Linked DNA regions of Rattus norvegicus. The protein of the gene in region 3 interacts with the protein of the main gene of each other region in a pairwise test. Links are inferred from orthologs where the notes say so. Each region holds a gene or a part of one and is shown on either strand. Other genes may lie near its edges.

Evidence for each region.
Region 1: the proteins of Max (region 3) and Mxd4 interact in a two-hybrid assay, tested with the Homo sapiens proteins (2 studies listed by BioGRID). The link is inferred for Rattus norvegicus from reciprocal best matches to the Homo sapiens genes MAX and MXD4.
Region 2: the proteins of Max (region 3) and Mxi1 interact in binary tests that used the Homo sapiens proteins (3 or more experiments, as listed by UniProt). The link is inferred for Rattus norvegicus from reciprocal best matches to the Homo sapiens genes MAX and MXI1.
Region 4: the proteins of Max (region 3) and Mxd3 interact in a two-hybrid assay, tested with the Homo sapiens proteins (4 studies listed by BioGRID). The link is inferred for Rattus norvegicus from reciprocal best matches to the Homo sapiens genes MAX and MXD3.
Region 5: the proteins of Max (region 3) and Unc45a interact in binary tests that used the Homo sapiens proteins (3 or more experiments, as listed by UniProt). The two-hybrid records come from large-scale screens. The link is inferred for Rattus norvegicus from reciprocal best matches to the Homo sapiens genes MAX and UNC45A.
Region 6: the proteins of Max (region 3) and Mga interact in binary tests that used the Homo sapiens proteins (3 or more experiments, as listed by UniProt). The link is inferred for Rattus norvegicus from reciprocal best matches to the Homo sapiens genes MAX and MGA.

What each region holds. Positions count from the first base shown.
Region 1 is NC_086032.1:80,785,450-80,789,736, forward strand, and holds the start of Mxd4 (max dimerization protein 4), read left to right. Parts: upstream 1-1,487; coding exon 1,488-1,551; intron 1,552-1,632; coding exon 1,633-1,732; intron 1,733-4,287. UniProt on the Homo sapiens protein: Transcriptional repressor. Binds with MAX to form a sequence-specific DNA-binding protein complex which recognizes the core sequence 5'-CAC[GA]TG-3'.
Region 2 is NC_086019.1:262,347,468-262,351,441, forward strand, and holds the start of Mxi1 (max-interacting protein 1), read left to right. Parts: upstream 1-1,174; 5' UTR 1,175-1,221; coding exon 1,222-1,294; intron 1,295-1,953; exon of another isoform or gene 1,954-2,097; intron 2,098-3,030; coding exon 3,031-3,163; intron 3,164-3,974. UniProt on the Homo sapiens protein: Transcriptional repressor. MXI1 binds with MAX to form a sequence-specific DNA-binding protein complex which recognizes the core sequence 5'-CAC[GA]TG-3'. MXI1 thus antagonizes MYC transcriptional activity by competing for MAX.
Region 3 is NC_086024.1:101,371,291-101,374,790, reverse strand, and holds part of Max (protein max), read left to right. Parts: intron 1-2,014; coding exon 2,015-2,138; intron 2,139-2,598; coding exon of another isoform or gene 2,599-2,683; exon of another isoform or gene 2,684-3,356; coding exon 3,357-3,500. UniProt on the Homo sapiens protein: Transcription regulator. Forms a sequence-specific DNA-binding protein complex with MYC or MAD which recognizes the core sequence 5'-CAC[GA]TG-3'. The MYC:MAX complex is a transcriptional activator, whereas the MAD:MAX complex is a repressor.
Region 4 is NC_086035.1:9,305,097-9,309,351, forward strand, and holds the start of Mxd3 (max dimerization protein 3), read left to right. Parts: upstream 1-1,455; 5' UTR 1,456-1,528; coding exon 1,529-1,598; intron 1,599-1,810; coding exon 1,811-1,916; intron 1,917-2,476; coding exon 2,477-2,506; intron 2,507-2,634; coding exon 2,635-2,749; intron 2,750-4,255. UniProt on the Homo sapiens protein: Transcriptional repressor. Binds with MAX to form a sequence-specific DNA-binding protein complex which recognizes the core sequence 5'-CAC[GA]TG-3'.
Region 5 is NC_086019.1:143,703,101-143,707,383, forward strand, and holds the start of Unc45a (protein unc-45 homolog A), read right to left. Parts: upstream 2,801-4,283; 5' UTR 2,677-2,800; coding exon 2,626-2,676; intron 2,475-2,625; coding exon 2,313-2,474; intron 2,105-2,312; coding exon 2,068-2,104; intron 1,916-2,067; exon of another isoform or gene 1,773-1,915; coding exon 1,597-1,772; intron 1-1,596. Other genes in the region: Shisal3 (protein shisa-like-1a), read right to left, coding at 2,891-3,074, 3,503-3,713, 3,890-3,986.
Region 6 is NC_086021.1:127,387,558-127,391,057, forward strand, and holds part of Mga (MAX gene-associated protein), read left to right. Parts: intron 1-46; coding exon 47-253; intron 254-1,970; coding exon 1,971-2,082; intron 2,083-2,357; coding exon 2,358-2,588; intron 2,589-3,500. UniProt on the Homo sapiens protein: Functions as a dual-specificity transcription factor, regulating the expression of both MAX-network and T-box family target genes. Functions as a repressor or an activator.

The DNA.
Region 1 (4,287 bases), on a different chromosome or scaffold from region 3:
AGACTGGGAGGGAGGTGGCTCTGGTTTCCACATTCCCAGATTGTTAACAGCCCTGAGTGTGGGAGCACTAATCTCCATTTTTCTATTTCAAGGGGGCTCTGCAAGTTTCCTTATCTGCATATTGGGCATATGGAGATCCACAAGGAAGCATGTATAAGGCTGGTCATAAAGTAAAGATCAATGTTAATTTTTATTGTTTGCTACAGTAGCCCCCTTCCATTTTAAGGGTTGCTGTCTAGCCACCTTATTTCCCACACACCTCTCCTGCCTGCTGTTTTGTCCTCAACCTAAAAACACGGAGAGGATCAAGAGGTGGGAGGGGTTGGATACAAAGATGGTGTTAAGGCATCTTGAGCTTCCCTTCCCCCATGCATCTATCTATAGGCCAGTCTGAGGAGTCCGGGTAATTAGGGCTTAGAGTGACCAAGACAGCCAGGAGCTTGCTGAAAAGCTCACTCTCTTATCACCATAGCCTGGCTCTTGGAATGGCCCTACCCTCAGACCAAGCACCGTAAGCAGACTACACTCCCGGATCCCTCTCGCGCAGTAGTGTCAGTAGGTCTTGGTGCCTTTTCCTTAAGCCTGGTGACCTTCCTTTTCACCCCTGATTGCTGATCCTACCTACTTTGGGTCTGATATCTAAGAGGCTTTTAGATTCCAAAGGTCTGCGTCCCCGTCCCAAGTTTTAGCCTCCCCCAGAAGCCACTATTCAAGCAGAGACAGGTGTCATTTGCAGTTCTTAAGCAAGATCCCAGCTCCCGCCCCAATCAGGCCCCAAGCCCAGTCCTCCACCTAGACTATGGTACAGCTGACTCCCGGCAACAGGTCGTTGCGCACGACATGCATGGGCACGACAAAGCGCCGGGGCGCGTGTCCGCAGCGCATCCTGCGGGGTGTCTCCCGAGACACGGTCCACGTCCTCCTGGCCCCCGCGTAGGCCGGGCAGCAGTCCCACCGCGCAGTGCTTCCTCTCGGCAACCCGTCTTGCCCGGGCGTCCTCATTGGCCCCACGCCCCGTCGCCCGCCATTGGTCCGGGGACCCAATTTACATAGACCGATCTGGCCCAATCGGTGTGCAATGCCTACTTAACATGCACGATGGCCGCCAGTCAGCGAACACTGGGGCTGGGCCACCACGTGCTGTTGCTAAGCTTGGGCTTCTAAATTGTTACTACTGGAGCCAGCCTATCCCAGTCAAGCTTCGCATCTGTCAACATTCTCAGCCCTGCCCGAGGCGTTCGGCCAGTCCCTATTGGCCAAGGCTTGCCAAGAACCCGCCCCCTAGGAAAGAGCGCACACACCCATTGGCTGTGTCGACTGCTGCTCTACTTATGTGTCAATTTGAGGGCCTGAGGCGGAGGGTGGCGGCCCAGCGCTGGAGTCCGCGAGTCGCGCTGGTGTGCCGCCAGGCGCGGGGCGTGCGGCGAGCAGAGCCGGCAGGAGCGCGCCGGGCAGCCGCCGCCGCCGTCCCGTGCGCGGGCGGCAGGATGGAGCTGAACTCTCTGCTGCTGCTGTTGGAGGCGGCCGAGTACCTGGAGCGTAGGGACCGAGGTAGCCCGCGCCCCTTTGTGCCAGGGTGGGTGGGCGGCGGGCGGGCGCAGGGGGCTGCTGACCGCACCGTCTGTCCCGCAGAGGCCGAGCACGGCTACGCCTCGGTGCTGCCCTTCGACGGTGACTTCGCCAGGAAGAAAACAAAGACGGCCGGCCTGGTGCGCAAGGCCCCGAACAACAGGTACCGCCCCCAACCCCCACCTCCCACCCCCGCGCGCTGTGCCAAGCCAGCTCAGGCCAGCCCCGCCCGAGTGTCCCCCGTCCTCTCCGCGTCCCCAGTGTAGTCCTGCGCGCACCCGGGCGGCCGGCCTGGAGGAGGTGCCGGCCCCGCCCGCGCGTCGCCATCTTCCCGCGGCCGCGCCTCCCCGCCGCCGTAAACAGTGCCACGCGTACAGCGGCCGCGCTCGCCTATAGCCGTTCTGGACTTTTCCAGACCGGAGAGGAGTTGTCAGTTGGTGCCGACCGCTACTCCCTCGTTTGGGCCGAACTGGGGACTCCTCCCTCCCTTGCACTTCTCAGAGCTGGCATTGCACTTAGGCCCTGCACCTTATCCCCAGGAGCCTGGACAGAGATCTCTCCCTTGGTACTTACGGGTCCTGCGCAGCCTATTGACAGGGAAACTCCAACTACAAGTATAGGGCTGTCTTTGTCGCGAAGTGCTGCAGGGAGCTACTTCTCCCAAAAGTCCCCAGGCCCAACTACACTCTCTTTGCCTTGCCCTTGTGCTTGGAGGAAGCCCTGAAGCTGAGGTTTAGGGACTCCTAAAGGTTCCACCTTCCTGGCTGCAGTGGGGGCCATGGCACACCTGACACTGTCTAGGGGGCCAACCTTGGCCCAGCTACTCCTGTGTGGTCAGTGTGAGAGCTTCCCTGGCAGGCTGGGGGCTTCAGGGCCCCTTGGCAGAGGGTGCGGCTCATTCCTGTGGCCTGTCTGTTCTTGGGAAACAGAGAGGCTGGCACAAGGACCCATTTCTGTGGTGTCCTGGGCCTGGCAAAGAACTGGTTGAATTAGCAACTGCCTGAGCCCCAGCCCCTGGTCTCCTGCTTTGGGCAGTTTGCAGAAGGACATAAGTGTGCTGGATGCCTCACTGTCCCAAGCTTCCACAGTGAGATGGCCTGGCCCCAGCTTCTGTCTGCCCCGAAGCCCAGATTGAGAGCTCAGGTTCCTGTGGCATGGAGTACCCACAGCTGATAGGAATGGTAGCATTCCTGAGCTGAGGCCCTTGAATGCTTCTGCCATATACACAAGTAAGCAGTCTGACCCAGCCTTGTAAATGAAGCCCTATTTTGATCTCCATTTTACAACTGAGGAAGCCAAGGCATAGACAGATGCAATTACTCGTGCAGGGCCACTTAACCACCTTTGTTCCCTGTTCCTGGATGAGGTCCTAGCCTTCCATTTTCTGCTGGGGTGGAGAACTGGGTGCAAGGGGCAGGGGCTGCAAAGGGCCTCTCTGACTTGACTTGGGTGCACCTCCCCTAAAGTTTCCTTGGACAGAATGTACTCCCTCAAGGCCTAAAGCCTGAGGGGTGGCAGGCAGACACAGCCCTTCCCTCCTCGGTCATTGCTCAGAGTCTATTCTCAGCCAGCTCAGTTGAAAAGCTGGGATTCCAGATGTGGAAGGGAAGTTCTGAAACTATAAGGCTTCTGTGTCCTGGCAAATTGAAGGACAGGCCCTGGTATGGCAGGCTAGTGTGAGAGATGGATAGGTCACCCATGGGAGGGTGCCTGAGTCAGCCTTTAGGGTGAGGTTCTTTGAGAATGGAAGCAGAAGGGTCAGATCCAGGTGGTGCCCAGGCAGCATCTGACACAACCATGGCCTCTCCTCGGGCACAGGTGCTTTTTAGAATTTGTGTGACAAACTCAGGACGAGTTCCAAGAAAGGTCAACCCCCATGCTGCTAAAAGGTGGCCCTCTAGTCCAGGATCGGGAGCTGGCAAGACAAGTAGTATCTTCTAGTACAGGAGTTGAGGGAGCTCCTCAACACCGAAGGCTCCTTCTGCTGACCCTAACCTGCTACACAAACTAGTAGACCTACAGACCCAGTCAGGCTGCCATTTGGAGAACTGAAAGGCAATTCTTCAGAGGCCATCGAGCAGTTTCTGCACTGCCTTCTTGGCTCTGATTGGCCTGTGGAGGGATTCTGAGGCTCTGGGCTGGTCCAAGTGACTAGCAGGTTTTGGGAGAGCCTTGGAAGTACCCGGGAGAGCCCAGGAATCAGCAGGGCCTGAGGGAAGATGGGTGAGCTTGTACCCTAATGGCTCCAGTAGATGATGGGGCAGGTGGAGTGTGCACACTTTTAAAAGATCCCAGATCCAAGCTCTAGAGCAACAGAGGAAAGGACAGGTAGGCAGTAGCAGAACACAGGGAGAGCCTAGGGCTGACTGAGTGTGTCCTGAGCTTTCTGCTCATATATGCAGCAGCCTGGGGACCTTGTTGGTCTGTGGCATTCCCTTAGATTGAGAGAGCCACTTGGAAACCTGAATGACAGCTGTGGTGTTCGGAAGTCTGGTCTGGGGGAATGGGCTTGGCCAGTGGGGTTCAAACAGTCCCTGGAGTCACTGTTCCCTGGGAAGGTAAAGTTGGTCTCAGGGTTACATGTTCTAGCATGATGCAGCTCCTGAGAGAAGGGGGAGTGGCCATCGTCTGTGTCCTGCTATGTACCTATAGGCCCAGAAAGCATGCATTTCTCACAAATGCCCCTGCAAGCTGACTTGGCTTTAAAAGCTTTCTTCT
Region 2 (3,974 bases), on a different chromosome or scaffold from region 3:
TGCGCAGAACAGAACCCAGCTCCAAGAAGGAACTATCAGGTCCCAAGTATCAGTAATGCCAAAGTTAAGACATCCGTTAGAAGAGGGACGTGGAAAGAGGGTGGTGGTTGGGAGCAGCAAGTGGCTGCTTTTGAGTGTGCTCTCTGCTTGTTATTGTCTCTGATGTCAGTTACACTTCAAGAGAGGAGAGCACAGGAGGAGCAACCATCGCCAGTAGAAAGCACTGAGTGATGGGATTATTTCATTTAGACTTCACGATGAAGCTTACTAAATAGGTGTTTCCTGGGAACAAGGAAGGCCCATGCCTGTTTCTCTCAGTACCGTCTACATAGAGTCTGGTCCAGTGCCTGGCATGTGTCTCAACATCGTGAATACATGGAAGAAATAAATTCATCTTATATGAGAGGGAAAAAAAAGCTTGGGGTCCACTATGAATACAATACCAAATCTTTACGTCCTTTCCTTATATCATCAGAACAGGTTTTCTGTCTAAAAACACCAATGAGGCACGGAGGAAGAATACAGAGTGTCGAAACAGGGAAAGAAGGACCGAATGGACGTCCTCTCTGACTCTCATTAAATGATCTCATGTTTCTGAACTGCGACTTTTGTTCGTCAGAGTATCTGTGGTTCTGTCCTTATAAATAATGTTACTTTCCTCTTTTAGAGGGTGAGAGTACCCAGACACTGACGTTTCACAGGAAAGCAATAGATAGAGAACTCTAGGCCCAGAGCACCATCTAAGGAATGAGTCTCCTTGGGAGAAGACCCAAGTCTTTTCCTCAGAAGCAAAGTCATGTAAATTTTTAGTCTTGCCATTCTTGGAATCTGGAAAGGAAAGCCAAGGAAAGACTACATCTCCCAGAGGCCATCGCGGAGTGCTCCACGCGCAAGCGCATGGAGGCGGCCCCGTCCCTCGACACCCGACGTGTACTGGCTTGGGGGCGGGACTACATTTCCCATGGGGCAGCGGAAGGGGCGGGCAGGGGCGGGACCTTGTCGCTGCTCCGGTCCCTCCCCCGTGCTCGCGCGGAGAAGTAAACAAACCGCGCGCGGGCTGCAGGCGGCGCGGCGGGCGCGGCGGGCACGGCTAGGGCGGCGGAGAGCGCGCCGAGCCGGAGCCGAGCTGGCCCGCCCGCCCGCCGCACATGTCCAGGGTCGTCGTGGGACTGTAGCCGTCTGTGGCGCCTCCTGTCGGCCGGGGGCGGGAGCGCGGAGCCCATGGAGCGGGTGCGGATGATCAACGTGCAGCGCCTGCTGGAGGCCGCGGAGTTTTTGGAGCGCAGGGAGCGAGGTAACGGCTGGACGCCGTCGCTTCGACCACAGCCTCGGGCTCCGCGCGGGGAGTGCGGCGCGGCTGGCAAGGGGAGGTGCGCGCGTGTGTGTGGAAGTGCGTGCACCGGTGAGGGGGAGGCGCGCGCCCGCGCGCGGCAAGAGGAGCACGCGCGTGTGGGAAGAAATGTGCGTGCGTGTGAGGTGCACGAGCGTGGAAGTCCGCGCGCTGTTGGAGAGGTGGGTGCGCCGGGAGGGAGGTTTGCTCTGGAGTGCAGGTGAGTTCCGGAGTGGAGGCGTGCAAGAAGCTCGCGAGCGAGAGCAGGCGTGTGTGCACTTGTGCATGAGGTGTGAGTGGGAGCTTAGGCAAGGGAGAGGGGGCTTTAGGGGAGGACCGGTGGCTCTGGGCTGCAAGGGAAGGACTCTCCAGTCGCGCAGGGGCAGCTGCTGAACGGACCCGAGGAGAGGGCGGAAGACGCTGGACCAAGAGCTCTTGCAACTTGAGACCGCACTGGAGAGTGAAGGGGGTGGGAGCTGGGGAGGTGTGGGTGCAGGAGGCGGGGTCTGTACGAGCCCGGGGGCGGAGTGGAGTGGGGGTAATGCCGGCTGAAGAGCTGCGGGAGGGGCTCCCTGCTATTGTGAGCATGGGGTACAGTGAGATGGTGTTGCCTTGGAGGTGAAGATAGGTGGAGGAATAGGAAGACAGAGGAAGGAGTGTGAAGAGCCTAAATGCTGCTGTCAGGAGAGAGGAGGTCCTTACCGAGACGTTGTGGTCAAAAGAGCTGGGGCACGCAAAAACGTTGAGGCTACAAAGGCACTGAAGAGGTGACTGTAGTTAAACCAAGGGTTTCGGATTGTTTTGTTTTGTTGGTTGGCTGGTTTTTCGGGACAAGGTTTCACTGTGTAGCCTTGACTGTCCTGAAATTTTATCTGTAGACCAGGCTGGCTTCAAACTCAGAGATCGACTGCTTTTGCCTCTGGAGCGCTGGGATCAAAAGCAACAACCACTACCACCTGGCTGGGGGGATTTTTTTTTCTAAGGCGAGTGAATGGGTGGGTAGCTGGTATTAGAAATTAGGATTTTAAAAGAGAATTCTTGGTACTGGAGCGATGGCTCTGCTGATAAGAGCCCTTGATACTGATTTGGAGACCCAGGGTTGTTCCCAGTACCCATATTGAGCTTTTCTTTGCAGCCTGTAACTCCAGTTCCAGGGAGATCCATGTTTTTTTTTCTGGCTTCCCAGAAAACATGCATAAATATACATGCTTCTGAACAGCTATGCACATGTAAAAAAAAAATAAACCTAAAGAATTCTCGGAGGAGAGGGTTTTGGAGAGGAGTGAGAAATTTGGTTTGGAAGAGTTAACGATACATTCTCTTGGCAGTGGGCTGGGTATGTAATTTTTTTTTCCTTTGGGTAGGGGCTTGCCGCATAACCCAGGCTGGCCTTGGACTCGGCCTCCTGGGTGCTGGGGTTAAAGGGACGTACCAACCTTAGCTAAACAGTGGGATTTTATCTTCTAACCAGAGAGTAGGAACATTTTATCTTTTCTACTTAAAAAAAAAAAGTGTTACTACGAGGCCTTTGGATCTGTGGGTCTTTTTTTTTTTTTTTTTTTTTTTTTTCTTTTCTTTTTTTCGGAGCTGGGGACCAAACCAGGGCCTTGCGCTTGCTAGGCAAGCGCTCTACCACTGAGCTAAATCCCCAACCCAGTCTGTATTCTTCGTAAACTTTCTTTTCCCTTACTGTTTTTTAGAGTGTGAACATGGCTACGCTTCATCATTCCCCTCCATGCCGAGCCCCCGGCTACAGCACTCAAAGCCCCCACGGAGGTTGAGCCGGGCACAGAAACACAGCAGTGGGAGCAGCAACACCAGCACTGCCAACAGGTAGCAAGATGGCGGAGGGGGCGTGAGGGGACAGGCGTGGAGGGGCTCAGACTCCAGGCCTAATCCCATGGATCTGTTTTCTCTCTAACACCACCCTGGCTCTGTGTGCAAAAAGGGAATCTAATCCCACAGAGGCAACTGAAATTGTTCTTGCTGGTTAGTAGGGGGTCCCCATCACTAGAGGATGGTAAGTTGAGACTTGGTAGCTAGCCTGTGCCCATGCTAGCCACATGCTGAGAGTAATCTTGGATCAGCTTTCATTTTTCTCTCCAAGTTCAGGATAGTCCAAGAAGAATCTTTTAAAATTAGAAATAGCCCCGGCAAGATATAAAAGAGAATCAAGGGCTTTGTTAAAAAAATAAAAATATCGGGGCTGGGGATTTAGCTCAGTGGTAGAGCGCTTACCTAGGAAGCGCAGGGCCCTGGGTTCGGTCCCCAGCTCCGAAAAAAAAAAAGAACCAAAAAAAATAAATAAATAAATAAAAATATCTAGCTATGTTAATGGGACTGGCCCATTTGTTAAGGAGGAGGGGAAGGACCCTGTTGTATAACATTTGAATCTTACTCAATGGAAAGTGGTCGGTATGGAGGTTTTAGCAGAAATAAAGAAGACTCCTTCCGGGATGGACTTCTTTTCCAGAACGTGCTTGTTCAGAGGAGCTGAGACGTAACTGACTTCCGCTTTTGGTAGAGTCTGGCTGATTTTTCAGTATTTTGATTCAAGGATTTGTGTCAATATGCAGTTTTCAAGAAACCTTAAGAGAAGGGTATTTTCCATTGATAGGAGGAAGTTAAAGGAGACCGTTCTTTC
Region 3 (3,500 bases):
TGCCCTTGGTCTAACACAGTTAGTTCACTGCTTCATCTGGAGCATGAGCAGTGTGCAACACTGAGGCCGGCGTCTACCACATGGTGGGTTGTCACTCCCAGGAACTGCCTCTTCGGTGACACTTATAATCTGTCAGCACACTTGTCAGCACTGCCTGTGGCTTGTCTGCATATAGATAATACTTATCTTCTCACTAGACAGTAAGCCTATGGGCAAAGAAACTGGGACTATACGTTTTGTTTCTCCACAGTGTATGCCTTGCACATAACTCTTACAGATAAAATGAATGAATGAATGAATGTGAATGATCTCCCCTTGAGCACATCACCTTGAGGGTACTATAAGAGGAAAACCTGGGAATTGTAAATGGCTGGTAAAAATTTAGGCCTTGTACACCTCACCTCGTCTGCCCTAAGGTCTGTAAGTTGATCATTAGAAATGTTTTAATGTGAGGAAATTGAGGTTTGCTAGTTTGAATACTGGTATGTTCTTTGCCTTCCCCTCGCTGATTCTGGTTGTTTCTGAGCACTGGACTGGAAAGCAGAATTGTCAAGAATGACCCTTTTGAGGGCAAAGCTTTTGAATGCTTGGCCTCTGGAAGGGACACTAGACTTGAGGGCTACTCCACTGCCCTGTTTTGGGCTTATATGCATAGCAGTTGTGTTGAGCTGGTACCCTTGCTCTAACCCTGCCCATATGTGTAACCTAGTAGGAACCTTCCTTCCAACAAGTGCGATTCTGGGGGCACAGGGCACAGTGCATGCAGAGTAACCTGCTGCCCACTTTTTGGCCTATTTATTAACCTGGTTCCCTGATGAGCCAGGCCCACACCACACCACCTGCTCTAATTGTACAGGTGTGGCTGTTTCCTGGGATGTCTCAATTACATGTCCTTCCTGTGTTGACATCAAGGGCTTACAGCTTTCTCTTTAGACAGGAGGTAAAAATGGTGAAACAACAGGAACATTGTTCAGTTGAGCTACTGACCGATTGATAGTCTGAAGGTTTGGTGAAGTCTAAGACTGTAATGAAAAGTGTGCCCACTTTCATTCCAAGCCAATGCTATGCCAGCCCTTGATCTTGTCATGCTATGGCCAGGCCCGAGCAAAGTCAGTGTGGCCTGAGCTTTTTTTTTTTTTTTTTTTTTTCCGTTATTTCAGATGCAGTTGAGCTGCATCCAGTATACAGAAATCCCTGGGTTTCATCCAGATCACCATATACAGCTGGGAGTAGTTATCCCAGCACTTGGAAGCTGGAGTGGTATACTTAGTACAGTACGTAGTGAGTTCAAGACCAGCCTGTCTCGGGCATGGACAAGCTGAAGACTTTAAAGCAAACTAAAGAGCCAGAGGGTTGAGAGTGTAGCTCATGGCTGCGATCCCAGTACTTGGGGGTCCTGCGGCCTACCTGGCCTTTTTTTTTTTTTTTTTTTTTTTTGAAAGATTTATTTAGTATTATAGTTATATAAGTACACTGTAGCTATCTTCAGACACACCAGAAGAGGGCATCAAATCTCATTACAGATGGTTGTGAGCCACCATGTGGTTACTGGGGTTTGAATTCAGGGCCTTTGGAAGAGCAGACAGTGCTCTTAACCACTGAGCCATCTCTCCAGCCTCTGCCTCGCCTTAAAGCCCTGTTTCAAACAAATAAAAACTATAAGAAAAAGATCCAGAGGGGATGAGAGAAGTTCAATAGTTGGATAGACTCTAAGCCCAGGCCTTCCCAGACCAGCTGGTGGTTTTAAATAAGCCAGTGTGGCTCTCTTGAGCCCTGGGTTCCTGGTAGAGCTCCTGAGTCTCCGTGTAGGTAAGTTCTGTGAGTTGCTTGACACTTTGGATAAAGACCACAGTTAACCTCTACTCTTTCCTCAGCCTTTTCCATCATGGCCACCATCCTGTTTCCAGCCTTTCTTTCCCTCATGCTGTTGCCAGAGAAGGGCATGGTTCTCTTGCTATGTAAACTTAGTCTTTATTTTGTTCTTTTTTTAAAAATCTTTCTCATATTGCAACAGGCATCCCGGGCCCAAATCCTAGACAAAGCAACAGAGTATATCCAGTATATGCGAAGGAAAAACCATACGCACCAGCAAGACATTGATGACCTCAAGCGGCAGAATGCTCTTCTGGAGCAACAAGGTGAGCAGGCAAGCTCGTGGGGCAGCTGGCCCTGCTGTGCCCCGGCCAGGCTGGGGCTTTCACAAAACCTGAGCCTTCCGTCAGAGCTAGAGGACCATGCCTCAGAAGCATCCTCAGCCCTGAGTGTTAGAGCCATCCTGAGGAAGGACCAGACCCTCCAGTGAGGAGATGGAGGAGCTAGGGGATTGAACATCCAAAGGCTTGTATCTTTTCTGGCCTGATCTCTCCCTTTCTTGGGGCTCAGGTTCTTTGCCTACAGTAAGGGTCACACCTGGTGTCAGGTATCTGAACAGAGCTTTGAGGTCCTTGCAGTAGAATGTGCCATGTAAGTACCAGAGTCTCCAGGAGTTCAGGGACAGTGAGCCCTCCCCCTTGTCAATAGTAGTCCAATCAGGGCAGCCTATGGGCCAGGCCCCTGCTGTTCTCCAATGCTCACACCCGCCTTTTCCTACAACCACAGGGGAAAGCGAGAGCTGATCAAGTTCTTTGTTCCTGGGGAATTCACTTCTCTTCCTCCCTCATGGAAGATGCAAGTAAAAGGAAATGCAAGTAACCACCTGGGTTAGAACATCTCACATAAAATAACATGAAGGGTTAATCCTCCAGGCTCAAGCTGAGCTGAACCAAGGGATGGGCAGTGGGCGGCGGCAGCGGGTTGGATGATGGGCCAAGCAGCCTGCATGTAGGGGTGTCTGTTGGAAGGCCCAGGTATTTTGTGTGTATTGGTGACTTGCTTCCAAGTGTCCAGCTTGTCATTCCAAGTGGATTTTGTTCATGAGAGCCAAGCCAAAAGTTTTCTTTGACCCAATCTGTTGTGTCATCCTCTCCTGCTATCATTGGGCCTTCACCTTCACAGAGCCTAGCATTGCTGGGCTAGCTTCTTCTCTGTCATTGCATTGCTCAGTCCAACAGGGAACTCTTGCTCTGGTCTCTATGCTGGGTCCATGGCAGGACGGTGTCTCATCACAAGCCTTCTCTTCAGGGTGGTATGGCTGAGGCTGGCCATGTCTGCTGGGCCCCCAAGCCCATCTGGGAAAGGAAAAGGGGAAACGGAAGTGTGCAGGTGGAACAGCCACCAGAAGGGAGTGACTTCTGAGCCACCCTGTGCCTTGGGGGCCAGCAAGCAAACCCTTAGGAAGAACAGGCTGGACCCTGAGTCTGAGACTTGGTTGCTCCGGATCTCCAGAAGGGTAACATGCTCCCTTGGTTGCCTTTTAGTCCGTGCACTGGAGAAGGCAAGATCAAGTGCCCAACTGCAGACCAACTACCCCTCCTCAGACAACAGCCTCTACACCAACGCCAAGGGCGGCACCATCTCTGCCTTCGATGGGGGTTCAGACTCCAGCTCAGAGTCCGAGCCTG
Region 4 (4,255 bases), on a different chromosome or scaffold from region 3:
GACCTTTCCTTGGAGAACAATTTTGTCTCCATCCTGCTCTGAGGCCAAAGTCTCCTGGGTACTGTTATGATGAGATTTGTGCCTGCATTGAGTGTGTGCTGTCTTAGAGAAACAAGATTAGGTACTCGCTGGCTACATGGTGCTCACCTGAAATCCTGGCATTTGGGAGTGGGAAGGAATATCAGGAAGTCGCCATCTTTGGTTACATAGCAAGTTTGAAGCGAGATTGTTGCAAATGAGATCCTGTGTCAATTCCTCCTCTCTCTCTTCCAAGGGGAATTACATCCCGAAGTCACGTGAGCATTAGGGGTCATCCCCCTGTTCTGTGCCTGGGCGGATCTTCCGGTGTTTCTCTCCATAGCTACAGTGCCTTTGTTTCAGTCTACAAACTGTTACACAGTAACTGCAACTCTTGGAGAGAAAAAAAAAAAAAGGGTTGGTGATTTCTCTGGCGATGACTTTTAAGAGAGCCTTTTTGGAAGGGGCCTGATTGGCGCGTGTCTGGGCTTACCTAGACCATCTTTTCATACCCCCCAACCCGCGCCCTCCCATCTCTAGTCCAGCGGACTCTGAGAAATCCCCTCCATTCCTGACTCAGGTATGGTTACCCCTGGTTACCCACCAGATGGCTAGGAGAGCCTTGTTCTAGATGGGCTTCCCATGGGCCGTCTGGTTGCAATGGCCCTAATGAGATGGTTGTTTGCTTGCTGGGCAATACATAGGCATTAGCTCTAACCCCTCCGCAAGGCTGTCTCACGTTCCCGAGTTGTCACACCTAGCAGCGACCGCGGAGGAGCTCCAGAACCCGGGGCGAACCCAGGGCGAGATGGTGTGTTTCATGCCCTGGCTTCGGAAGCTGTTAACAACAGACGTTTTCCCGACGACACTAACCTCCCTGCAAATGACGGGAGAACCGGGAGGGATTCCCATTCGAGGACCAACGAGGGGCAGATGCGGGGCGGCCCCTACCTTGTCCAGCGTCCTGGCCCCAAGACAGGCGCGTGCGCATCGCCATCTCTCACCGCTCGCCCCCGCCCTCCTCGTCCGGGTTTTCAAATTTGAAACCTGCGGCTTTTCCCGCCCGAGCGGGGCCCCCGCGGCGGGAGAGGGCGGGACCGCGCGCCAGCCAACCCAGTCTCTGAGGCTCGTGTCCCGCCCCGAGGATGTGGCCGCGCCCCGCGCACGTGCAGCCCAGGCCCGCGCCTGCAAGGACCCGCGCGACTGCTTGTCGCGGGAGCCGGGCAGCTCGCAGCACCCAATGTCCAGGCTGCTCGGCCCGGCGGAGGGCTCGTCCCCAGAGCGCCGAGCTGCAGCCCGGGTCAGACTGGGCGGGAAGAGGCTGGCTGGGCGGGGTTGGGCGGGGCGGACGCAGTTCCCAGGGGCGGGGCGGAGGCGGGGCCGGGGCGGGGCGGCCGGGGCGGGGCGGGCCCTCTACTAGTGGCACCGTGTCAGTTACATTGAAACAAAAGTGGTAACGCGGCTGCCAGGGCCAGCATCCCTATCCCGCTCGCCGTCGGCTGTCGCCGACATGGAACCCGTGGCTAGCAACATCCAGGTCCTGCTGCAGGCAGCGGAGTTCCTGGAGAGGCGCGAGAGAGGTGAGGACTGACCCCGCGCCCGGGCTGCATTTGGCTCCCAACTTGGATGGAGCGCGGCTCGAGGGCAGCTAGCGCGCTGCTGCCCGCACATCCATAGGAGTTCGTAGGCAGCCGGGCATGGAGTGACTGGGGAGATCCTGGCGCCAAAAGCCTTTCCTTGACTACGCCGTGCCAGGGGCTCCAGCTGACGGGCTGTGTTCTCTCTCTGGCAGAGGCGGAGCACGGTTATGCGTCCCTGTGTCCACACCACAGTCCCGGGACCGTATGCAGGAGGAGGAAGGCACCCCTGCAAGCTCCTGGCGCGCTCAACAGTGGGCGGTGAGCAGGGATGGGGCAGTGTAAGGAGGGATGCTGATCCTTAGCTGGCCCGTCTAATTCTCCTCACTTGTTTGCTCTTCTGGGCCAGGTACCCTGCTCCCTCTGCCTTTTCTACACACACACACACACACACACACACACACACACACACACACACACACACGAACGCACTCCCCTACAGGCCTCTGCTCTGCTTTTCTGTCCTTTTGCATATTCTGTTCCTTTTAAATGGTTTTCCCTCCTACTGATTTCTCTGGCAGGCTTGGTTTTTTTTTTTTGTTTTTGTTTTGATCAAGTATCACATCTTTCCGGGGGACCTGTCTTGCCTGGCTGTCAGGGGGAGACCCTGCAAGTACCTGGGCAAGTGTCCTGTATCTTTCGGTGTGTGTGTGTGTGTGTGTTTGATTCCTTTTGCCACTACCTGGGGTTTGGTGTCCTAAATGAGCCTAGACCCCCACGAAAGCCTTACTTGGCACAGGTAGTGAGTTTGGAGCTGTACCTAAGGCTGAGGCTTTGCACAGCACAAGCTGCCCCTCACCTCTCCCCCTTGGCATTTGCAGGCATGTGCACAATGAGCTGGAGAAACGGAGGTGAGTCCCACCTGGCCCCCAACAGTACCAGGTCCCAAGGACCATCTCTCTCAGACCTTCCCTCCCTGGCCATCCCTCTGCCTGGGGAGGTGGGGCTGAAACTGCCCTCCAGACTCCTTCCCCTGCAGGAGAGCCCAGCTGAAGCGGTGCTTAGAGCAACTGAGGCAGCAGATGCCCTTGGGAGTTGACCATACCCGATATACTACACTGAGCCTGCTGCGCAGGGCCAGGATGCACATCCAGGTAAAGAGCTGCCTGCTGTCCCCAGTGTGCCTGTGAGACAGCGTCGTGCTGTGGATGGCTTGGCTGGAGAGCTGCCTCCATTCTGTGTGCCTCGAGGCAACCCTGTGCTTTTAGTTCTCGAACCCATCTTAAGTGGAAGAAAAGCAGAACGCGGGGCTGCTCTGGCGCGCTGTGAACGGTCCTTTTGTTCTGGTTAATATTACTTAAGTCTTAGCTGTGAGACCTTGGACGAGTCTGTTTCCTGTTGGGTTCAGCAGGGAGTAGATGGCTGGTGAAAATACTGTCTTTAAGCCAGGTGATTTGGCAGATCGCAGAGGGCTGGTACTAGCCTCTCCTCCTGTCTTCAGGGCTTACTGGTTTGGGTTCTGCTGGTCTTGCGGGGGGTGGGGAGGTGAGGTGGGAGGGCTTGGAGGCAAAGTACAAGTGAACTTGGCCTTGCTGCTGCTTGAGTGGAATTGCAGGCCCCCTGGTGGACAGGACTGGGTATGCAGACGCCAAGGCTTCGGCTCTGCGGACCATGTGGGCGTGTTAGAAGCTACCTTGGCAACACAAAAGACTGTTTCCTGCTTTCTGGGCCCATCTGAGGGAAGGAAACGGCGACAGTCAGATTGAAGGGACAGCAGACCGAGAGGCAGATTCAGTCCTAACGCCTGTCCTGTTTCTCGGTGTTTATTATGCACCTCCCTGTCAGGCTCTTTCCAAGAGCCGGGCACAGTCAGTGCCATTCCTGTTCAGCACATGTCTGCGCTGTCACATACGTGCCTGTGTCACTTCCAGTTGTCCTGGTTCTCATGTAGGCTTAGGTTTCTCCCATGGAGATTGTTCGACCTCATTTTCAAGTAGATGAAATGTGCTACCCAGAGGGGTTGACTGGCACCTGGGCATCAGCCGTTTCTTGGGCAGCTTCTCCTGAGCTGCCTTCTACTCTGCGTGCACATCTACGGAGGCTGAGGCCGTCTCGAGCTGGGATCCCTGATGGGACACAGCCTCACTTCCCGCTTCCTGTGAAACTCAAGCCTCTCCCTAATGCAAGCCTTGCTTTTCTGGGCTCTAAGCGGTCTCATGGCAGCTTTAAAGGCTTCTCTCCTGGCCAACCAGAGACAAAGCTGGACTCTGCAACTTCCCAGGGTCCCTCTGCCTTGATGGTACCCAGCCCTGTAGCTTAGTCTAGGTGAGGACATGTATTCTTTTGTACCTTGTCCTGAGTGCTCTGGCTTATTCTCCCCTTGTATTTTTTAAAACAAACAAGCCAAAATTCTTTGTATGGGTTAAGAATCAAACCTAGAGCCCAGCAAGTGCTAACGAGCGCCTCCAGGTGTCGTCTCTTTGTCTCGTATCTCGATGCAGTTCAGTTGGCAGCACTTCACAGTACTTGATGTGAGAAAACTTGGCTCTCCATTATTCAAAGAAATGGAGATCAGATACTGTGAGGTCTGTGGCCATGGGTGCAGTGGGGGGAAAACCTAGGTGTGGCCACATCCTTCAGTTTTGCTTGTCAGGATGCCA
Region 5 (4,283 bases), on a different chromosome or scaffold from region 3:
ATTCTTCTAATATTACCATTTTCATAAACACAACACACACATACAAACACTCATTCTCTTTTTTCTTGTTTTTTAAAATACAGCCCAGGCTGGTCTTGAACCATTTTAATAAACACACACACACACACACACACACACACACACACACTTTTCTTTTTTTTTAAATGTAGCCCAGGCTGGTCTTGAACTCACAAAGATCTGTCTGCTTCTGCTCCTGAGTGCTGTGATTAAAGGTATGCACCACCCACCAGGTTTGGCCTTTAGTGGACAGTTTGTTGTTGGTTTTTTTTCACAACAGGGTTTCTCTGTGAAACAGTCCTGGCTGCCCTAGAATGCACTTTGTAAATCAGGCTGGTCTCAAATTCACAGACATCTGCCTTTCTCTGCCTCTGGGATATTAAAGGTGTGTACCACCCCACTGGCCTGGTGTACATTTTTAACAGGCCTTTATTTTTATTGTTTGTTTTTTTAAGTCAGAGTCTCACTATGTAGCTCTGGCTGTCCTGGAACTCATTCTGTAGACCAGGCTGGCCTTTAACCCAGAGGTCTGCTTGCCTCTGCCTCCCAAGTGCTGGGATTAAAGGTGTGCACCACCGCCCGGCTTTTATTGTAAAATGTTAGTATTTTTCATCGGACTTACACAGATGCACCCAAATGTTCCCAGACATGACATATTATTTGGGTCCTTAAGTCAGCGACAGAGTGCGTTCCTATATGTAATACCACATATCTTGCTTTTCCGTTTACCAATCAGCAGAGCCCTGTCTGGTCACACACGATCATTTCTCAGAAACAGCACTGACCTAGTCTGTTTAGTTTTGTTCTCTCCTTGCTGAGTATACAGGCAAGTCCCAAGTCTCTCTTACTATAAACAAAACTGAAATAAAAGTCAGACATCTGGGGGTTGGGGATTTGGCTCAGTGGTAGAGCACTTGCCTAGGAAGCGCAAGGCCCTGGGTTCGGTCCCCAGCTCCGAAGGAAAAAAAAAAAAAAAAGTCAGACATCTGAAACTCCAACACTTGGGAGGTGTAGGTAGGAAGTTAAGGCCATCCACAGCCATGCAGCAAGTCCAGGACTAGCCTAGGTTGCGTGAAACCCTGTCTAAAAAAAGTAAAAATAAAAATGTTTTTGGAAGCAAGAGAATCAGGGGTTCGAGGCCAGCTTTGGCCACGTAGTGAGTCTAAGGCTAACTAGATCATCACCTGTTTCTTTACAGCTTTGATATGCTAATGTACTTCGGCCTTATGGAGCCAAATCAATTCCTACTTTCCCCAGGTACTGTAAGAGCCCACACACCCACATCCACACCACCTACCTGCCTCATTCTTTGCCAAGTACAAACGTATACATACACCGAAGAACCACACTTCAAGCATTATTATTATTATTTTTTTGGTTCTTTTTTTCGGAGCTGGGGACCGAACCCAGGGCCTTGCGCTTCCTAGGTAAGTGCTCTACCACTGAGCTAAATCCCCAGCCCCCACTTCAAGCATTATTAATGTGTGTTTGTTACCAGTAGCTCCCGTCTGGAGCACTGTGTCTATATCCTTGACCCAGACCCAGGAAGTCCCCAACTTCTCTTGGCTCTTCACATACCTTCTCCTGAATCTGGCCCCCAATGTTCCTCAGGGACTCCTGGAAAACTTTGTTCTTGGGTTCTAGGCTCACACATCTCTTCAGGTCAAGGACAGCCTGGTCCAGGCGGCCCAGCTTCTCTAGGGCTTGGCTTCGTCGATAAAGTGCTTTGACATCCCCACCGTCCTTTTCAATGGCTGAGCACAAACAGGAGCTCTATCAGCACCCATGAGGCCACCGTCTCCAGGCAAGAGCAGTAAGGATAGATCTTGAGGGCCAAAGGAAGATAGGGGTACGAATGTGGAGCTCTGTGCTTCAGCCTCAGAAAAGGTGAGGGCAGCTGCAGAAAAGGAAAGGCCGAAGAAGTGGGAAAGCAAGTAGAAAGACGAGTGTCTGGGACCAAAGGAGGAGAAAGGGATGGCTCGGTGGTCCCAGAGTCCTTGCCCACCACAGAAAACCCATTGCTCCGTACGAGGGCCCACACCCCCCTACCTTTAGATGCCTCTGATTCTGCTTTGCTGTAATCTTCCTGTAAGAAAGATCAGGAGCCTGAGAGGAACTAATCGAGTGGCAACGACACCCCTGTTTTACTGAGCCACCTGATCCCTCACCACCCATGCCTAAAGACCACTGGCAATTGTGGGTGGCTAGAAAATGCCCAGCTGCTGCGCACAGCAGCGGCTATGGACAATCCCAGGCACAGGTAGAACCAGGTTAGAGCAACCCGACCCCCTCACCAGCTTGAGGTGGCAAGCAGCCCGGTTTCGGTGCAAAATAGCCTGGTCCTGGGGTGTCGCGCCAAGACTCAGGGCCTGGGTGTAGGCGGTCAAGGCGCCCTCGTAATCCCCGCATTTGAACAGCTCGTTGCCCTCCTTCCGCAGCTCCTCGGCTGAGCTGGCCTATGGAGAGAAAGACGGTGAGCAGAGCAGCGCGGTTGGAAGAGGAGCCGGGTCCGGGCAGAGTCCCATATAGGGCTAGAAAGAAGTGACGGAGTCCAGGTACGAAGGCGCATGTGCGAAGGGGAGATGTCGCAGGAGAATCAGTACGCACCCCGGGGTCGGAAGGTCGGGGCTCGGGGGTCCCCGGACCACTCACAGTCATCACGAAGCTGAGCTCCAAGAGCCGGTGCAGGCACAGTCACTGGAGCTAAGGTAGCCCTGGGCTCCGGAAGATGCCGGTGACTGCCCCGCCCCAGCAATGCGTCAGGGTTACGCCAAAGAAGGCGAGGCCAAGAAGAGGTTGCAAGGGCAGGGTACTCGGCCGCGTTGCGCAGGCGCGGGCGCAGGCGCACGGTCAAGGATGCTTCCCGAGCGTCTTAGTCTGTTCCCACTGGGACCTGTAGGGGGCGCGCGGCAGAGGCCCGAAAGGAAAGGCGGCGGCCGCGGGAGTTTTGCCTTTCTCTCCGTCCCGGACCACGGCAGAAGTGCACGAAATCTGCAGTCATCAATGCCATCAACAGTAGACTGTAGATGCCCAGTGCTAAGAGCGGGCCTGGGCCTCTAGGGAGAGAGGAGAGAATCAAAATTGTACACTGGCTGCACTGTACAAGTCAGGGTTTACAGAGCCAAGAGTCCCGAGAAAGCGCGGGATAAATATAGACTATGTGCGCATATTTTGCAAACAAATTTGGGAGCTCGCAATACCTTGAAGACGAACACGGCTAGATTCAGAATTAAACCCCCTACTACAATGTGTCCATGGACTACAAGATCCTCTTTATTAACACCGTCCAAACCCCTTAGGACATAAAGCAGCTTCCGTTACTTCGTTTTCAATTTTTACAGTATTGTTTGTAATTATGATTTAGGTGACTTCCTCTCCACTAGTCTGGAAGCTACAAGTCTCCCAACGCAGAATTCAAGGACAGAGCCCAAAACACTGAAGCGCCCTGTCAGTGTTCTGTGAATCTGGGGGCTAGAGTTCTTACCTGAGGATGGGTGGGGGCTGAAGAGTAGACAAGTTTACTTGGTACAGGGCCTCAAATTCATCCAGGGTACAGCAGGAACCCCCAGCAGCCTGCAGGTGGCAACAGTAGGCTTCCTCGGGAGTATCAGAGAGGCGAGGACAGAAAAAACCAGGGTAGTGGCGGCCTTCGGCATCCCGTGTAGTCTGACACAAATGGGGGTGGTGAGCCAGTGCTGGAGAGAAGCAAGACGTCTATAGAGAAGGGAGGTTACCCACATCCCTGGCACCCTGTTCAAAGTGCAAAATGGGGTCCAAGTCCCTAACAGAAGAGAAGAGGAGGCTCTCTCCACCCACCACTGGCAGCTCTCCCAATTCCCCAAATCACCCTCAGAGGATAGGGAAAGTATACCTGAGAGGTCGGTTGGCTGAGCGAGGTTCATCCAACTGAAAAGCAGTCCCACACACAGGCCTGTCAGCAGAAGCCCTGGATTCCTCTGGAGGCCCATGAGAAGTCACCTCCACCTCAGTTGTAGTCCAGTATGGGAATCCAGTATGGGTTCTAAGCCTTGGCTACAGACAGTAAGGAACCTGACATTAAAGTACCAAGATTCCCAGAAGTGGAAACTCCTCTGTTACAGGCTTGTAGGAAGATGAGAGTGATTAGGGCCTATCATCAGCTGGGAAATGTGAGGCCTTTGGCTCCAAACTGCCTACAAACTGGCTCCAAATTTCCTAAGCAGAAAGGAGGAAAGGAATGCCAAGGGAGAAAGAAAAGAAACGAACACGTAAAGCCAAATGTGTTT
Region 6 (3,500 bases), on a different chromosome or scaffold from region 3:
CCTTTGGGATGGAGGAAGGTTCTGAGGAAACTTTCTTTTTGGACAGGTTTCATTAATTTCTTCAAAATTGAAAGATGATTGTTGGAGTGATAAGCCACACAAAGAAACAGAAGCTTTTGCATATTACCGGCGGACACACACTGCTAATGAGCGGCGGCGGCGTGGTGAAATGAGGGATCTCTTTGAAAAATTGAAGATTACATTAGGATTACTTCATTCTTCCAAAGTTTCCAAAAGTCTCATTCTTAATCGGGTAAGTATTGTGGAAATCGCATACACAAATGTAAGTTCAGTTAAGAGAAACTTACAGATACGATGAGAAAGAAAATTCATTATCATATGAGAGAAATGGAAGCAGAGTTACTTCTATTTAACAGTTGAGTGAAGTTAGTGGCTGGTCATGGCAGCTTATACCTGGTATGGCAGCACTTGAGAGGCTGAACAGAAAGATTGCCATGAGCTACAGAGTGATGCTGTATCACAAACAGGACTAGTAAATAAGCAATAAATACTACAGAGAAAAAAAATTAAGTCAAAATAACTTCACGTTTACTGTTAAGTATGGAGGCAGGGGAACAGGGAAGATTGATGGGGGTTGGTGGAGGTGGTGGTGGTGGTAGTGGTGATGGTAAGCAAGCAAGCTCATGGGTACATGTTCCCATGTGTGTGTATGCAGAAATGAGAGCAGGATGTTGGGCATCTTTTTTATTACTTTGAACAGGGTCTCTCATAGAACTGGCAACTTGACTCTATGGCTAGGCTGGGTGGCCATGGAACTCTTGGGATCTTCAGTGCTTGGGTTGTATAGGATTGTGCAGCCATGCTTAGCTTTTTACATGAGTGCTGGGCATTCAAACTCAGGTTCTCATGCCTGTAAGGTAAGTGCTGTGCTGTTGTCTTACCCGGTGAGCCATCTCCCTAGCCCCAAATATTTAAGTCTTAAGTTAGAAGCCGAGGAGTGGTAGGATAGCTCAGTTAACAAAGTGCTTACCTTGCAAGCATGAAGACTTGATTTCCATAACTCCAGAGTCTACATTAAAAAAAGAGAGGGAGATGTGGTGGCACATACTTTTAATTTCAGCTTTGGCTGGGCAGATTCTCTAGTCTCACTGGCCAGCCAGCTTAGCCTATTTGGTGAGCTCCAGGGCAGTGAGAGATCATGTCAAGAAAAGGAAGATGGTGCTGAGGAATAATACATGTCTTAAACTTAGACTAAGTCTGTGTGCTAGTCTCTATATTATTCCTTAAAGTATTTAGTACAGTTTATCATAGTGTAAAGTGCATAGTACAAAAATAATTTAGTGCACACATTTTTTTCCAGTAGAGATGGAACATGGTTTGATGCATGTGAGGCAAGCACTTTACCACCAAATAATTGCATCCATAATCCGTAACACTTCTTGATATCTAATAAAGATATTTAAAAAGAAAATGAACTACTCAGCTTAGTAAAGTTTTAACTTTGCATATAGGCCATCAAAAGCAACATCATTTCATTACTTTTAAGAAGTTGGGGAAGTATACATCTAGCATTTATATTTATTGAAATGAAACAGATTTTGTGAACATTTTTAAATTTGATTAAAATCTAAGCAGAACATGAGTATTTTATATTTTTCCTTGCAGTAGTGGAAAACTTGTTCACCACTCAGTGATGATCTTTGGAAATAATCATTCTCTACATTCCCTAAAAATATAAGCTAGAAAATAATTTAGCAAGTACTGTTGAGTTGGGGGTGTAGCTCAGAGATAGAACTCTTTACATAGCATGCACAAGGCCCTGAGGTTCTATTCCCAGCACCAGAACCAGTGGCTCAATGTATTATTCAATTTCTGAAACATGATTAGTTGTTTTATAATGTTCTCTAAAATACTACGTTAAAATACTTTCATTAAATAAATTGTGTAGGCCTCCTGTACTTTTTGGAGTACAAGTAAATGGTCCATTGACGTTACTGTTTTTATTCTAGGCATTCAGTGAAATTCAAGGACTAACAGACCAGGCAGATAAATTGATAGGGCAGAAAAATCTCCTGAGTCGAAAACGAAGTATTTTAATCCGGAAAGTATCATCTCTTTCAGGTAAGCTACATAAGCATCTCTGGGAAAGAAAGAGTACAGTGACAGCATTAGCAAGGACTCCAAGCCTTTCAGACTCTGTTGAGGTTTAGGATTGGCATCTCAGGCTTACAGCAGGATTAGCTTTGACTGAGCCTATCATAGTTTCTGAATTGTAATCACTTGCCTCTCAGAGTTTGGGGGAATATAATTAAATCAACTAGATTTCAACTAACTGTATTTCTCATTGTTTTGTGGTATCATGCACAGAGTGATGCTTTACTCCTATTTACCTGCAGGGAAAACAGAAGAAGTGGTCCTGAAGAAGCTAGAGTATATTTATGCAAAACAACAAGCACTAGAGGCGCAAAAAAGAAAAAAGAAGATGGGGTCAGATGAGTTTGGTCTGTCTCCCAGAATTAGTACACAGCTGGAGGGATCTTCATCATCTGTAGATCTTGGACAGATGTTTATGAGTAATAGAAGGGGGAAACCTTTGATTCTTTCCAGAAGAAGAGACCAGGCTACAGGTAAGAGAAACATTTTTTGCTTTTCTTAATGTAGCTAAACATCAATTTATTTTAGTGGACTGAACATCTCTTGGCTATAGTTCTAGTTAAATGAATTACAGATGATTTTTAAGAAACCTAACTTTAAGTAGTAACTTTGAACTTTTGGTTTTGCACAAATAACTCCTAAGAGCTTGTGTAAATCCTAGTTCTGATAACAGTCTACATGTAACATGTTTCTAGTAAGTACATAACTGCTATTATATGTGAATTCTTGATATTCTTTTTTTTTTTTTTTTTTTTTTTTTTTTTGGTTCTTTTTTTCGGAGCTGGGGACCGAACCCAGGGCCTTGCGCTTCTTAGGCAAGCACTCTACCGCTGAGCTAAATCCCCAGCCCCGAATTCTTGATATTCTTAAATTTATTACAGGTTGAAAAATAAATTGGAACTTTTTAAGGGTTTTTTTTTTTTAAAGTTAAGGTCGGCATAGTGGTGTGTATCTATATATAGTCTCAGCCACTTGGAAGACTAAGACAGACAATTGCTTGAGGCTCAGAATTGAGTTTGGTCTAGGTAACAGAGTCAGAGTGTTATAGTGTTATAGTGTTTGTAAAAATTTACAAAGGAATAGTGTAATTTCTTTGAACTTGTCCATTTTTCATTGTCTTAATTAAGGAACAAAGTAAACTTGCTTAAGTTGTTTTTTACCTTGTTTTTGGAAGTAGCTATACTAATTTAATGTTACTTGGTAGGCTCATGTTTTAGAGAAAGGTGTGGGTTTTTTTGTTTGTTTGTTTGTTTGTTTTGTTTTTTGTTTTTTTGTTTTTTGTTTTAATTCTTCTGACAGCTCAGTGTATAGACCAGAAGACTTTGTTTTAACATTACAGAATAAAATAAATGACCTGAATTCACAATGAAAAGAAACTATGGCTT